2 linked regions of the Bombyx mori genome follow. The protein of the gene in region 1 interacts with the protein of each later gene in a pairwise test. Links are inferred from orthologs where the notes say so. Each region holds a gene or a part of one and is shown in the gene's direction. Other genes may lie near its edges.

Region 1 (7,373 bases):
ACGGCCCACCAGGTGTTAAGTGGAGCCGGAGCCCATAGACATCTACAACGTAAATGCCGCCACCCTTCTTGAGATAAGAGTTCTAAGTACTCTAAGGTCTCAGTATAGTTACAACGGCTGTCCCACCCTTCAAACCGAAACGCATTACTGCTTCACGGCAGAAATAGGCAGGGTGGTGGTGCCTACCCGTGCGGACTCACAAGAGGTCCTACCACCAGTAACCAGTTTGTCTTTATTTTGTTCGAACACTAGTTACACAGAAACAGAAAATGTCTATGATAAAACTTTTTGGTTAAAACCCTACTGTTACTAAAAAAAACAGCCTCCATTTTCTTATTTCGATACGACGCCTAATCTTAGAAGTATTTCCCTGAAAATAAAACCATTTGAAACCGATCATTTGCGAGATCTGGATCTATGGAGGGAGTTTACATCTCCATTTGTTTGATATCGTATGAACCATGGGGAGTTCACTGAAGGTTTTTTGGAGATAATCCCGTCATCTCCATTCTGTAGGAGTGGAATCCATATTCCAATTCATAGTATTTGGAACAAGTGAGTTCATCCACGGTGCGTGTTGACATTTTTTGGCCACGCAATATCTGACTTATGGGATGAAATTAGTTCCTTGATGTTTCCTGTGCGTTGACTCTTACAGTCTTCTTGTAACGCGATTTGTGAATATTTCTAAGTGATAGACTGCTACTCGGCAGTGCATTTAGCGTCACCGTTGTCCATCACTATCTGTAACCATTAACCAACAACATTACAAAGGTCTAATATATTTTGACTTCTGTATCTATAGCCAATTATTTAAATATTAGCTTTTGCTCCGCTCGCGTGAAGTAGTTACTTTGGCATAACGTTAAATTTTACCCTCACTTCATTTACGTAGAAAGTCAAAATATTTTTGAATTAATAAATAAATAATAATAAATATTTACTAACAATCACGCCACGTTAACTGGTCCCGTGATAAGTTCGTAAAGAACTTGTGTTACAGGTACCAGATAACGGATATAAATGTAAGATTTTTATTATACACATACATATATTTAATATACATCCATAACCCTGGAAAAGACATTTATATTTATCATACAAATATCTTCCCTTGGCGGGATTCGAACCCGCGACCCCCTTGTGTAGTGACCATGTCACTTACCACTACACCAGACGGCCGTTGAATTATAGAATATTAAGGAGCTATTTAAACCCCTATTTTGAAACATTCTTTATTGGTGCTCCACTTGTATTGGCCTTACCGGAATGTTATATAGCCTATAGCCTTCCTCAATAAATGGGCTATCAAACAAACAATTTTTCAAATCGAACCAGTAGTTCCTGAGATTAGCGCGTTCAAACAAACAAACGCTTTAGCTTTATAATATTAGTATAGATTAAACACCATATTTATCACGAGATCCGTCATTGGACACATCAACCACGCTAGGGCATCGTAATGAGTATTCGACGTAATCGCCTGTTTCCTCTTTTCCCTCTGTACATTGCAAAGCGTTGTTTTGTAAAACCGGTCCGAGGTCGACTGTAGAATCGATGAGGCAACGGATATTATGTTTGGAATAAAAACACTTACCTGTTTAAATAGACAACGTTTGGAATTATGAGTTAAAGAAGAAAGAGAGAGAGTGTCAAATTGTTGTTTTTAATGCGACATCGTACATAGTTCATTAACAATGAACTTCAGAAATGTTAGGGTCATACCTATAGCTTCGAGCTTGCATATTTGTGGTTTAATGATGAAATTTTGTGTAATAAATCTAACAAATAATTATATACTGTAATCTATTCTGTAAACAACCGATCATGATGATGGTTAGCTTTTTCATGAATACATAGATTGTCTTTCAACCAGAAAAATGAGTACTGTTCCCAAAAGTCTTAATGGTAGTAGGGCATTTTGTGATCCCGCGGGGGCTGGTACAACCACCCTGCCTATTTCTGCCGTGAAACAGTAATGCGTTTCGGTTCGAAGGTTGGTACAACCGTTGTACTATAAAACTAAGACTTAGAACTCATGTCGCAAGGTGAGTGACGGCATTTGTGTTGGTGATGCATATGGGCTCTTGTAACCACCAAACAACAGGCCATAAGCTCGTCTTCCCATATAAGCATTAAAAAAAGGCATGTAAAAGTAGTATATAATATATGAAGCATTATATTCAGTCAAACTATTTGCGATCCTTCCGGCGTTAATTTTTTTTCCTACCTGTTCTGATAGCCCTGAGAGGCTATTTCAGCTTCTCCTCGACGTGTAGGTGAGCTCACGGGGCTCAAACCGGAGTGTTGCTAACACTGACCCCAGCAAGAGCAGTGCTTCGCCGAATCTACCACTGGATCGGAAACGCGACCCACTGAAAAGATTCGGCGAGAAACTCAGTGGATTGTGTCTATGGGTTAATTTTCTCGTCGAGCCCTTCGTCACTAGCGACGGGTTCGGCGAGGACGGTGACCGGTGCTTTTGCACCGTTAATGGATCGGGAGGATCCGTAATGACGTGTATATGGCGACGTTTAGTCCTATTCACATACATACATTGATGTATCTGACATCAATGCCATTTCAACATCATTATTTTTCATTATTTTTTTTTTTTTTTTTTATTGTATTTTTTTACTTGTTTTTTCGTTTATTTGTAAATATTTTTAAAAATTAAAAAAAAAAAAATTTGAAAATAAAACAAAATAAAAAAGCCCGCTGAGTTTGTTTTGCCTGTTCTTCTCAGGACTGTGGCTTTTTTTCGGAACCGGTGGTAGAGTTACCATTGTTATTTATATTTTGACATTCAACAAGTGTGTTATACTGACATCTAAGTTGAAATAAATGATTTTGAATTTGAAAACAATATAAATTAACGTATTCTCTGCTTTGTTCCAGATTAGGGTTTATATAACTCCAACGACGAAAACGATTCGAGCTTCGTGCTGTAGAAACTCTCAGCCCCTCGAAATATTGTATAGAATCGCTCGGTGACTGCCAGGCATTGACACATCACTGCACTGCTCTTGTATGATAAACGTCTTAGAAATAAAAGATTAAAAAAAAAAAACGAAAAAAATAATATAATACGAACTAACGCCCTCTCGGTGGCCACGAAGAGGGATATTTATTATACTTTATTATTATTATTATTATTATTATATATGCATATATAAATCGGAGAAAAGTGATCTCTAAAGTGACGTCACAATATTAATTGAATTGTGATCTTGTTAATTAGTTAGCCGTGTCGCATTTCGTATTGCCCGTATTTATTGTAGTTAATATTCTTTTATTACGTTGTAAATATCAACAATATTTATATGTTACATGTGACATCGCGTTATACTATAATACTAGTCATCGATCTAGTGTGTGTTTATTGTAAAATCATAATTTAATTGTTACTAAAAGAAATAATTAACGAAAACTTCGGTCGAGTGCACTGAAGGCAAGAAGGGAATTCGTGTTTGAGAGCAAGTTACGTAACTGTCAAGATGCAGACTCAATTAGGATCAGGCAATGATCTGCAGAGGAGCTACAGGATCCAGGACTTCGCCACGCCTGGCGTCATCATGAGGGAGCGGAGCTTCGTACGTCCTCAGTCGCATCACAACATGCATCATCACCAGGTAAACAGACTTAATAGAACTCAGCTTAATAAGTATTTTCTTTGGTTTTCAGCAATCGTAGATATAATTAAAGCTGTTAAGGAACGCCAAATTAAATCGTAAAAATAAGCATAATTGTGTAGTTTAATTGTTTTATTTTGTTCTGAATTTTAGTGGTGGTAGGACCTCTTGTGAGTCTGCGCGGGGAGGTACCACCACCCTGCCTATTTCTGCCGTGAAGCAGTAATGCGTTTCGGTTTGAAGAGTGGGGCAGCCGTTGTAACTATACTTGAGACCTTAGAACTTATATCTCAAGGTGGGTGGCGCATTTACGTCGTAGATGGCTATGGGCTCCGTCCCACCTGGTGTTAAGTAGTTACTGGAGCCCATAGACATCTACAACAAAAATGCGCCATCCATCTTGAGATATAAGTTCTAAGGTCTGAGTATAGTTACAACGGCTCAACTAGGTTCGAGAGAAAAGCTAACAAAACCTTCTACACGTTAATTACTACAACTAATGTTGATACGATTATATACTGTAATAAAACTGCATGTTTTGCCAGGAAAACCTATTGCAATGCCTAATGCTTATAATAGAATAGAGTTATTAATTTTTTTACTTTGTTCTGTGTTCAAACTGGATTTCACCAGTTTCAGTCGCGCCTTGCGCATTTGATTATCGGCAAATATTCTGCTACAACATTCAATGTTTAAAATACAAGTGAGCGGCAATTGAATGCACCAATTATTTTTATGATTAATAAGTTAGACGAGCTGTTTTTCTTCAAATTTAGACTCTTCTCTCCCTGTTCAGAATAATTTTCAACGGCAAAGTCAAGAATTGTATAACAATTTAAATTTCATTAAACATTACTCCAATAATATGTGTTCCTTAAAAATTGTCATTATTTTTTAACTATTACCTTTTAAATTTTAATAAGATATAATTAGATTTATGCGTTCGTTCAATAGTGCGCGAACAAACAAAACAGAAGAGACAGAAAATAATCCAAAAATCGGTCATTAGTTTTTGGTCTATCGCTGTTCTTTAATTAGCCCCTTTGTATTATTTACCATTCTTCATTGTATTTAGCCTAGCATTGTATCTAGCGTAGTCTTTACTCCACGAAACCTGCTTATAGTGTAAGTACTGTCTGTCATACCCGATCCTGTAGACCGAATGGTATTTTTTTTTATTGCTTAGATGGGTGGACGAACTCATAGCCTAGTGTTAAGTGGTTACTGGAGCCCATAGCCATCTACAACGTAAATGCGCCACCCACCTTGAGATATAAGTTCTAAGATATCAGTATAGTTACAACGGCTGCGTCGGCTGCCCCACCCTTCAAACCGAAACGCATTACTGCTTCACGGCAGAAATAAGCAGGGCGGTGGTACCTACCCGCGCGGACTCACAAGAGGTCCTGCCACCAGTATGGTAAACAGTCGACGTCGCCCTAAATACGTCATTACAGATCCTCCCGATCCATTAACGGTGCCAGCGAACCCGTCGCTTGCGACGAAGGGCTCGACGAATGAATTAACCCATAGACACAGCCCACTGAGTTTTTTGCCGGATCTTCTCAGTGGGTCGCGTTTCCGATCCGGTGGTAGATTCTGCGAAGCACTGCTCTTGCTAGGGCCAGTGTTAGCAACACTCCCGGTTTGAGCCCCGTGCGCTCATCTACACGCCAAGGAGAAGCTGAAATAGCCTCTCAAGGCTATCAGCATAGATAGGTAAAAAAAAGTACAGATAACATAAAGCTTTCATTGTGATCCTCATTTTCAACTTAGATCAGCAAAAGTGCTATTGCTGATCGAAGTTGTACAAACACACCCGTTGTTACTGGTTTTCTATATGTATTGATAAAAACATGTATGTTTTACATTGCGCGCTCTTGTTCTCTGAAGTTTTCATTTTCATGGACGATTCTTTCGCAACAGTTAGGCTGTAGCTGAAGTTGAGTAATTAATTCGTTCGAAAATGTTTTTGCTGCAAATCCAAGCGATGCAAAATATGAATACTCAAAACCTATATTGACTTTACAACATACTCTTTGTTGACAAATATCAAATATATATTTGCGTTGGATATGTGGGCGACTACCGCACCCACAACCGAAACACGTAATCTAAGACCTTTTGAATGATTTGCGAAACAGTAAATTTTCAGGTGTGGCTCAATTTTGTAATTTAATCATTGAAAGTTTTTGTTATTTTAATATTTAATTTTACAAAATTAAACGTACACGTTCGAATCAACATCGACTGTATCAAAATGTTTTATGGTTTAATCTCGCTCGTTTATCATTTTTAATTTTATTATTTCCAACGTTGGGTATACTTTAGAATTTTCTTGGTCACATACTATTGGAAGTACATTTTGTCATGTCATCAAAGTCTTAGTGAGAATCGCTGGGTCACGCCGGATGCGGGTGGCAACGAACCAGCCACACTGGACATCAATTGGAAAGGCCTATATTCAACAGTGGACAATGGACAGGCTGAGATGATGATGATAATGCGAAGACTGAAGAACATACGATACAGGTCGCGTAGATTAATCATATAGTATCATCAGGGAACTGCGCATCGGCATTGAAGGCGCTGACATGGTTGTGAGTTCGTCCAAAAGAGTTATGTCCCGTTGTGCGTTGGATATAACTTTTAGTTTTTGTGTATGGCAATCGGATTTTAACTGGATTTATTAGTGACGTTTCCTAATCTAAGGATGTCTGGTATATAGACTATTGACACCTTGGCTGTGACAAATAAAATCATAAACCTTCATCTCGTGCGGCGGAGCGTCGAAATGCGCCCCCGACGATATTTCTATCAGTGCGTAGCAGGTCTTTCTCGAACCACCAGCACTAGGGTATATTAAAATGCTAGAAGTTTTCCGAAAACATACTTTGTACGGATTTATAGTATTTAGTTGTCGGTGTCGAACTCTGAACAAACACCTGAAATAATCGGTCCGCACTAGTGACAGGGACGTGGTTTTTTTTTTATCCCCACCAGCTGAAAGTATCGCGGCGGGCCGATGTGTGTATGTCCAGCAGTGAAGATGTGGTACTTACGAATCGAAAGATGTTACTACCCTCGTAGTCAGTGTGCTTAGTGCAAGCTGTGGTGCACGTTTCTTAACTCGATAGCGTAAAAGTTAAGCCAATTTTGTATGCAATTGGAATAGCGCCCCTAGCGGCAAACGTACGCAAACGATCCCATTCCATACAAATATGAGCTAACTTTTACGCTATCGAGAACGTTAAAAAACTCGCACTAAGCACACAGATCAAAACAGATCGCTGTGTAATTCAGAATAAAGTTTCAAATACATTTTAGGTGAATGTTGAAAGTTTTTAAAGTATGTATTTGAGCAGATACCGGTGAGTCATGAGATGGGTCATACAAATTTTATGCTACAAAGTCAAGAAGATTCCTCACAGATTCACACGATACATATTACTCACTTTTTGTCGATGAAATATTTGATTGCGCTACTGAGCTTAAAATAAACGATGACAGCTCATTAAGTCACCTTATTTGTTGGAAGCATTTCTAGTAAAATATATGCGTTTTTCTTTGTGTATGTACATCTTTTTACAAAGTAATTCGAAATACCAACTTAATGAATCGCTGTAGTAATATGGAATGTATAAGTAAATATGTGCGCTTGTGACAGCTGACATTTCAATTGTTGTCAGACAGTAGATCAAAATTTTTATATCTAATGTTGCCGTTTCTAAAACCTATAGT
Region 2 (7,373 bases), on another chromosome or scaffold:
TAATAACATTTAAAAAAATCTGAATTGAAATTTTTTAAATTTGGTTAATAACCACTTAACAAACATTTTTTCATTGAGCAGATACTTTGTTGTGTTCCGCAATGGCTCACAAGATGAGCGCCTTGATAAGAAGACTAGATTGCACCTTCTTGAATTGATCGAGTTGAGAGCTAAGTTGTGGCAAGGTTCCGACTATATGAGTCAATATTATAGGCACCGTGGTACTCATGCTGAGGTAATAATTTATTGTCTGTAGTGTTGTACACAATCTGATAGTATTAAATTAGATAACAGATGGTAAATAACAATATTGATCTTGTCATATTTCCAGCCTTTGCTGGTACCAACAATGGAGGGAACAGGATCAGGTGGGTCTGTGTCGCCTACGCTGGCTGCGCCGGCCGAGCCCCCTGCTATGCTCGGTCCTGGGGAGGTCATCAAACCCTCAGGAAAATTCCCCAAGCCCACCAAAATCCCGGGCAAGAATTACTCCAAAGATGAGGTTGTCATCAGGAATGCTGACTCTGGAAAAGGTATGTTGTTAACAATTAAACATAAAATTTATGTGTTCTAAGATGGCTTTCTTTAGAACACACAATTTTATGAAGGTAATTTTACTATTAGACATGCATGTGGTAATTAGTATCTTTATTTATTATATATAAGCTGATGTTATAACATTGAATATTTTAGTCCAGAGATTTTTTAAGAATGGTCAATTTATTCAGAACCATTTCAGTAGTGCTAAAGAGATTAACATATCAATGAACAAAAAGCAATTTTTCCTGTTATATTAGAATAAATATGCTTTAAAATCCGATTAGACTGAAGTTTGCATGTTAAGAGTGTAATGTTTAATTATGATTGAGTTTTCAGTTAAACCTTTGCATGTTTGATAAAGGTGTTGTAAAATATGTGTTGACTAAAGTGATGTTTAAATATTTTTATCTATGTTTGTTATGTAGACTCAAAATGAATTGTTATGTTGGATTTTTTTAAATGTTAAGGTTAGCAAATCTGATAGGGCCTGCGGCGTATCTTAAGTTGTATTGTGGTGTTCCAGTGATGGGTATTAAGGGCAGGAGGGTGCACATGATCGAGGAGCTAAGTGACACGATCATATCGTTTCAGCGAGGTATGAATGCACGGTGCAGGGACTGTGATGCGCTTGCGCATGGTGTTGCGACCTCCTTCTTCCTTCATATCCTATATCGAAATTTTCCATCACAAGTTTCGTTTACTGTTACCAAAAATATACATGATTCATTCTTTAACAATTACCAAAAATATACAAACTAAATAATCTATTTTATAATCCAAACTAATAAAACTCATCGGTTTTTATTGGTATGATTAAAAACAAGCATATTAATATATCATTGCCTAACAACCGCATCAAGCTTGTGCTTTACTAGAAAAGGTTAGCATTAATGATATTATGAGGGTCACTCCATATTTCAGTGAGTCCGGGAGCCAAGGAGCGACTAGTACAGATCACTGGACCGAATGAGGAAAATGTCAAGTAAGTAACTATACTAAGTTTTATAAACTATCAGACAATAAGTATCATGCTACTTTTAAAAAGTGCAAAATAAAGTTTGGGATGTTTCACATCAGATTTTTGCTGTAAAAAAATAAATTGACTGGTCATGCAGAAGAATTGTAAATGTGTACACAGCATTTGTTATTAGTGAATGGTAACATTGTTTAGTCTTGTGTAATTAATTATAAGCACGCGATTTTTTCCACGCGACTTATCGATAATCTCCTATACCAAATTCACACTGATGTAGTCTTTAAAAAATGATTCATCATTTGTAATGTGAAAAGTGAATCTACATTTGTACTGGGCAAAGCCTCCCCAACCTATGCGATAATTTTTAATAATTTTTCAACATAGGCCTAGATACTTCTTTTTTTATTATTTACATTACATAACAAAAGCTTTAGTAAAATAAATCACTTCTAGAAAAATGAAATAAACAAGAATGTGTAAAATAATTTTGGGAATACTTCAAAACACTAGTGCGTGTTTCGCAGTCACGCTAAACATCTGATTGGCGACACGATCCGTCGCAACGCGTCCCCGGTGCGACTGGAGGGGTCACTAGAGGCGCCCCGCTCCCCCTCCCGCGCCTCGCTGGACTCTGCCGCCTCTGACGAACCGCCGCGTAACCGAGAGGTACTTACTATACATACTTTAATTCGTCTATATAACGTCAGTATAACGAAAACACTCCTGAAGTCGAATCAGTCAGTAATATCGAGATTTCTATACTGGGTGTTAGGAGGCTGCTTCCGAAAACAAAGACAGACGATTTTCCTCCCATCTTCAAATGTGTCAGTACCATCATCTATCTTCGTTTTCGGCAGCAGTCTCCTATCATCCAGCATAATAAGACAAACTATAATTTTGAGGGTTGAAGGCGACATTTTTGCAACTTTACAGGAGAGCCATTGAAAGGATACATTTTGGAAAATAAAATGAAAAAAAATATACCTTCAGCAAAAATATACATTCAAATAATGGAGTAAAATTAATTGAAGTTCAATTAAAAACATCAAACTGTTGATGCTAATACCAAATAAAACGCACTTTTAATTATAAAGATAAGTGTCGCGTATTAAGCGAAATGTCCCTTAAACCAAATAGCCCTTCAACCCCCGTCGATATCATAAGGCTAAGTATAAAAATTAGCCAAGTCCACATTTCGTGAATGTGTATTACGTGAAAGCGAATACAGCGAAATTGATTTTTAATTGCATCAAATGACAAAAATACTCACACTACAATAAAAAACTCAAATGCAACACTTTTTTTTTTATTTATCGAAATTTGAATAAGCTAAATTTGCAATTTTTTTTTGTCGAACATTTCGCATATTTTCCTTGTATCTTAATGACTGTGGTGCTATGTATGTTCTATTTCTTTAATTAATATATGTACTTATTTCTCAGTGGATTTACTAAATTACTGCTAACTTCGGTTTCTGACTTTTATTGTAGATCGATATATAAAATCAGTGATACTACACTGTTGCACATCCACTGTATATTATTTAAAATATTATCTACCGACTGTAATAAAATCTGCTATTAACTGAAGAAGTATAGCAAATGTTTCACTTGCTATTATTATTAGGTTTAAAATAATAAAGTGGGAAATTCGAAAATGCATAATTAATAATCATTTCAAATTCCAGAAATCTCCTCACAACTCGAGAGCTCTGCTTCACAGTTTCTCTACGAATGATGCTGCACTTGGTGAATATAAGTACACTGTGACTTTCGGACAACATTCCATTAAGATCACCGGTAATAACCTGGATCTTGTGAAGGTAAGTTTTACTTCACGGTAATTTCTTATCTATTAAATTTAAAGGTTATCAAGAGAAAGTCGTTAGTTTTGAGAGAACAGGAAGATAAGATAAAGCAATCTGAATATGATAAAATTTTAAATCATTTGTGTTGAAAACTTTTGAATAGTAATGCAGTCACACATCTATTTTTTGTTCATGAATAATAATGAATGAGCACTGTATGGTAGTTTTTACAGAAGAACATTGGGTCTGGGATCAAAACTATAATGCTTCATGTATCAGTGTTAGTTCCAAAATTCGGTGGAGTAAATTTTAACTGACCTTGGCATATATCAATAAAATGAATATAGACCATGTTAAGGGCAGGCATAGTTGTGTACATAATTAAGTATTTCAGAAAATATATCTTGTATTATAAGCTTATTGGGAGTCTGCATGGTTTGGTACCATCATTTTGCATTTGATTTGAGTCTTATTGCAATATAACTAGAATTTTAACCAGTGTGTTTCAAAGTGGTACCGTGCTTGATGTCGCGCTCTCTACGCTCCGTTTCCCATCCAACACAATACCGAGTGTACCGATGTTGGTAAACAATTATCAATCAATTAACCTCGCTCTTTCTGCCAATATGATCTCATGAAAAAACAATATAAAAAGATGGATCTGCAGGCGCCTTACATTTTTTTTTATTGCTTATATGGGTGGACGAGCTCACAGCCCACCTGGTGTTAAGTGGTTATTGGAGCCTATAGACATCTACGACGTAAATGCGCCACCCACCTTGAGATATAAGTTCTAAGGTCTCAGTATAGTTACAACGGCTGCCCCATCTTTCAAACCGAAACGCACTACTGCTTCACGGCAGAAATAGACGGCGTGGTGGTACCTACCCGCACGGACTCACAAGAGGTCCTACCACAAGTAAAATTGCATGTTAGAGGTTAGGAATGTACAGTACACATTGTTGATTTAGACGGCGAAACTCGTGCTGGACGAGTACTTTGAGAGCGCGGGAGCACTGGAGGCCCTCGGCGCCGGCTCCGGGGACTTCTTCACTCTCTCGCAGCGGCCCGGCGCCGCGCTGCTGCTGCGGGACGAAGACGCCGCGCTGCACGACGACGACGTGTTCGTCCCCGCGCCCGCCGCCCTCCCCGCCGACGCAGGTGCCACTCTGACGCTAACTAACAGCTTTATCCTACCGACCGACATAGTCACCGAAAATAAATGAGCTCACAATGATAAACTACTATGATTTAAGAGAAAGCAAACTTGTACAATATCGATGGACTTACTAGAGTGATCTAGTGACGGAGACGATTGTTACTGGTAGAGCGTTTTGGGAGCCTACTTCGAGTAGGTACCAACGCTCGGCCTGCTTCAGTCTTATAGCACTGATGTGTTTGCTGTGATAATACAATTTATTTTAACCTCACATCTCAAAGTGGGTGGCAGTGTTCACGTTGCGTTACCTATACGCTCTATGTAATAGAATTAAAAAAAAAGAAACACTGTAGAAGTCAATTGTTTGCTGACGTGATGACTGGTCAGTATTGGACCTTGTAAAATATTCTCGCAATGTCGGTGAGTAAGTAGGTAATAAGGATCTTATGCAGACATTGATCAGTGATTAAACTCGAGTTGATTATTGATCTGACTCGTTTTGTGGAGTCCTTCGAGTATTTGTGCCTGCACGTGTTTCGTTTGGTGTGTTAATTTAAGGATTTCCGTTCAGAGATTTAAATATAATTTTTATATTGTGAGAATTAGGTGAATATAATTATTGCAGTGCAGTATGCGCACAGTAAATGCAAATACGGAATTAAATAAAGTTAGTGATGCGTGCTTGAAGTGGAATTTGGCATGGCTGGGTAGCGAGCGAGACGAAGTTTATTTTACAGCATGACTTTTTTCAATAATTAAGGAATGTAACTCTACCTGTGTGGCTCTAACTATTCGATAAATGCGGCTCCGTCGTGTCTGTAATGGACACATGACAAATGTACAAAATGGTAGAGGCGAATCACCAGTCACATCTGTTTAATCCTCATATGTTGGTGGTGGTTGTAACCGGTGACCTCGTTTCTTCCATAGTCAATATTACTATACTATACACTCGACAGAATTGTATTATATTCAATATCAATCATGTAACCTCGTTGATAACTTAGAACTGGTAGAGTTTCATTACAGTTTGTAGTAGTGACTCGGAGTGAGGACTGACAGGCATGCATATCTTTCAAAGTATTAATTTAGCTCATGTTAGAATCAGTATCGATGCTATCGAATTAGAATCACGTGTTCATTTATTAAATTTATTGTACGACTGACCGTATTATATCATGTATGTATGTATTTTATTTACTTACACTGAACGTGTATTACGTCACTGTGACCACCACCACCACATCGAACCGAGCGCGGCAGTGTTTTCCAAATTTTTTTGCGACCAGCATTCGTAACAAAACATTTTCGTAACTAAATCATGTGTCACTGCTAAAATATCATTCTATTCAGAAGCGACCGAAGCGAGCTTTATAAATTCTGCGATCCACATCGATTAATATTATATTCAATATTGCAATAATTGTTTTCTTTCAAATTAAAAAAAAATCTAATATTTAAAAAAAAAGACATGCCCGCTGAGTTTCTTGCCAGTTCTCTCAGGATGGAGGCTAGTTTTTGTGAATTGGCTGTAGTTCTTTTTAACGTTCAACAAGTGTGTGTACTTTCATTTATGTTGAATAAAAAAAAAAAATGATTTGATTTGATTTCATTTAACTATGGAGCGTTGCAAGTTTTTATACTACAAACGAGCGACATGCGGGATCGATAAAAAAAATCGCGTCGCGGTCAATAGACGTAGTGAATGGGGTTGGGGTTTGTTTGGCGGAGGTCTGCTTCTGAATAGTTGGGTGAGGGGCGGGTAGTGGTCGCGGTGTCGGCGCGAGTGTACGGACGGTTGTGTGCAGCCGCCGCCGACGGAGACCTCACGCCGCGCCGACCGCGCTTCTCACGCGCCACCAGCACTGACAAGAACCAAGGTAACCTCGCCCCACTGTCCCACCGACACGCCACACTCGCACACACACCCTACCCAATCTGCCCAGAGGGAATGTGAGCACGGGCCACGAAGCGATCGTGCGATTCCGATTATAATAGTATTACAGTTCATTGCAATTGAACTCTGACTTTGATTCGCTTCAACACAGTTCATATCAATAAAGCACTTTCGAATTCGATGACCTATTCGATCTATGCCCAGCAATAAAAAAGAAATAAAAAACTGTTTTGGAAATAGTAACTGGCAGTCTAATAAGTAAAGTCGTTTGACTGATAAATTAATACAACAGGTATTGTAGAACAAATTACAACCACTAAAAAAAGTCACGAATTATTTTTTTATATATATTTATCCTACCGCACTTAGATCTCTATTCTGTGGACTCATTGAGTGCTTTTAAATAGAAAAAAAATATTAAAATACCAAATAACAACTAGCAGCAAAAACAGTTTTTTTTGTCACAAATTGTCGCAAACATAATAACTGTAACAGAACAGAAACAGCAAAGTTCTCAAAATTTACTTACATTGATGTTTAATTTTATATTCAATATTTTATATGTACATGTATACAAATTTGAAATTAACGAATGTATGTATTGTAATGTAAAAATATCCAGTATGCAGTAATATGTAATTCATATTCATTTCTATCGCTTATAACTAACTATGATTCATTTCGATATGCCCATAATTTAACTAGAACATAAACATTCATTTTCTAGTTTCTTAATAACATGAATAGTTAACCAGAAAACAGACTACACCAATAAATATAATAATAATTTGAACTTAGTAAGCAATTATTTAATGTTTCATATATGTTTGTTCGCAACTAACATTCGAATATGCTTTATTGTTCAATAATATGAGAATGGTAGATCGTTTTTGAGCAAAGATGTTTGTGTGTTGGAAATTTGTTGTCTTTTTTATATTCAAAGACCGCTATACATACTTTTGAGGTTGTTTTTCTATAAAATTATGTTTCATTA

The links.
Region 2: the proteins of CBP80/20-dependent translation initiation factor (region 1) and eukaryotic translation initiation factor 4E-binding protein Mextli interact in a two-hybrid assay, tested with the Drosophila melanogaster proteins (2 studies listed by BioGRID). The link is inferred for Bombyx mori from reciprocal best matches to the Drosophila melanogaster genes CG13124 and mxt.

What each region holds. Positions count from the first base shown.
Region 1 is NC_085114.1:13,989,997-13,997,369, forward strand, and holds part of CBP80/20-dependent translation initiation factor, read left to right. Parts: intron 1-2,898; 5' UTR 2,899-3,497; coding exon 3,498-3,632; intron 3,633-7,373.
Region 2 is NC_085110.1:13,302,529-13,309,901, forward strand, and holds part of eukaryotic translation initiation factor 4E-binding protein Mextli, read left to right. Parts: intron 1-81; coding exon 82-235; intron 236-331; coding exon 332-533; intron 534-1,063; coding exon 1,064-1,135; intron 1,136-1,461; coding exon 1,462-1,522; intron 1,523-2,040; coding exon 2,041-2,182; intron 2,183-3,203; coding exon 3,204-3,338; intron 3,339-4,294; coding exon 4,295-4,484; intron 4,485-6,290; coding exon 6,291-6,362; intron 6,363-7,373. UniProt on the Drosophila melanogaster protein: Plays a role in promoting translation.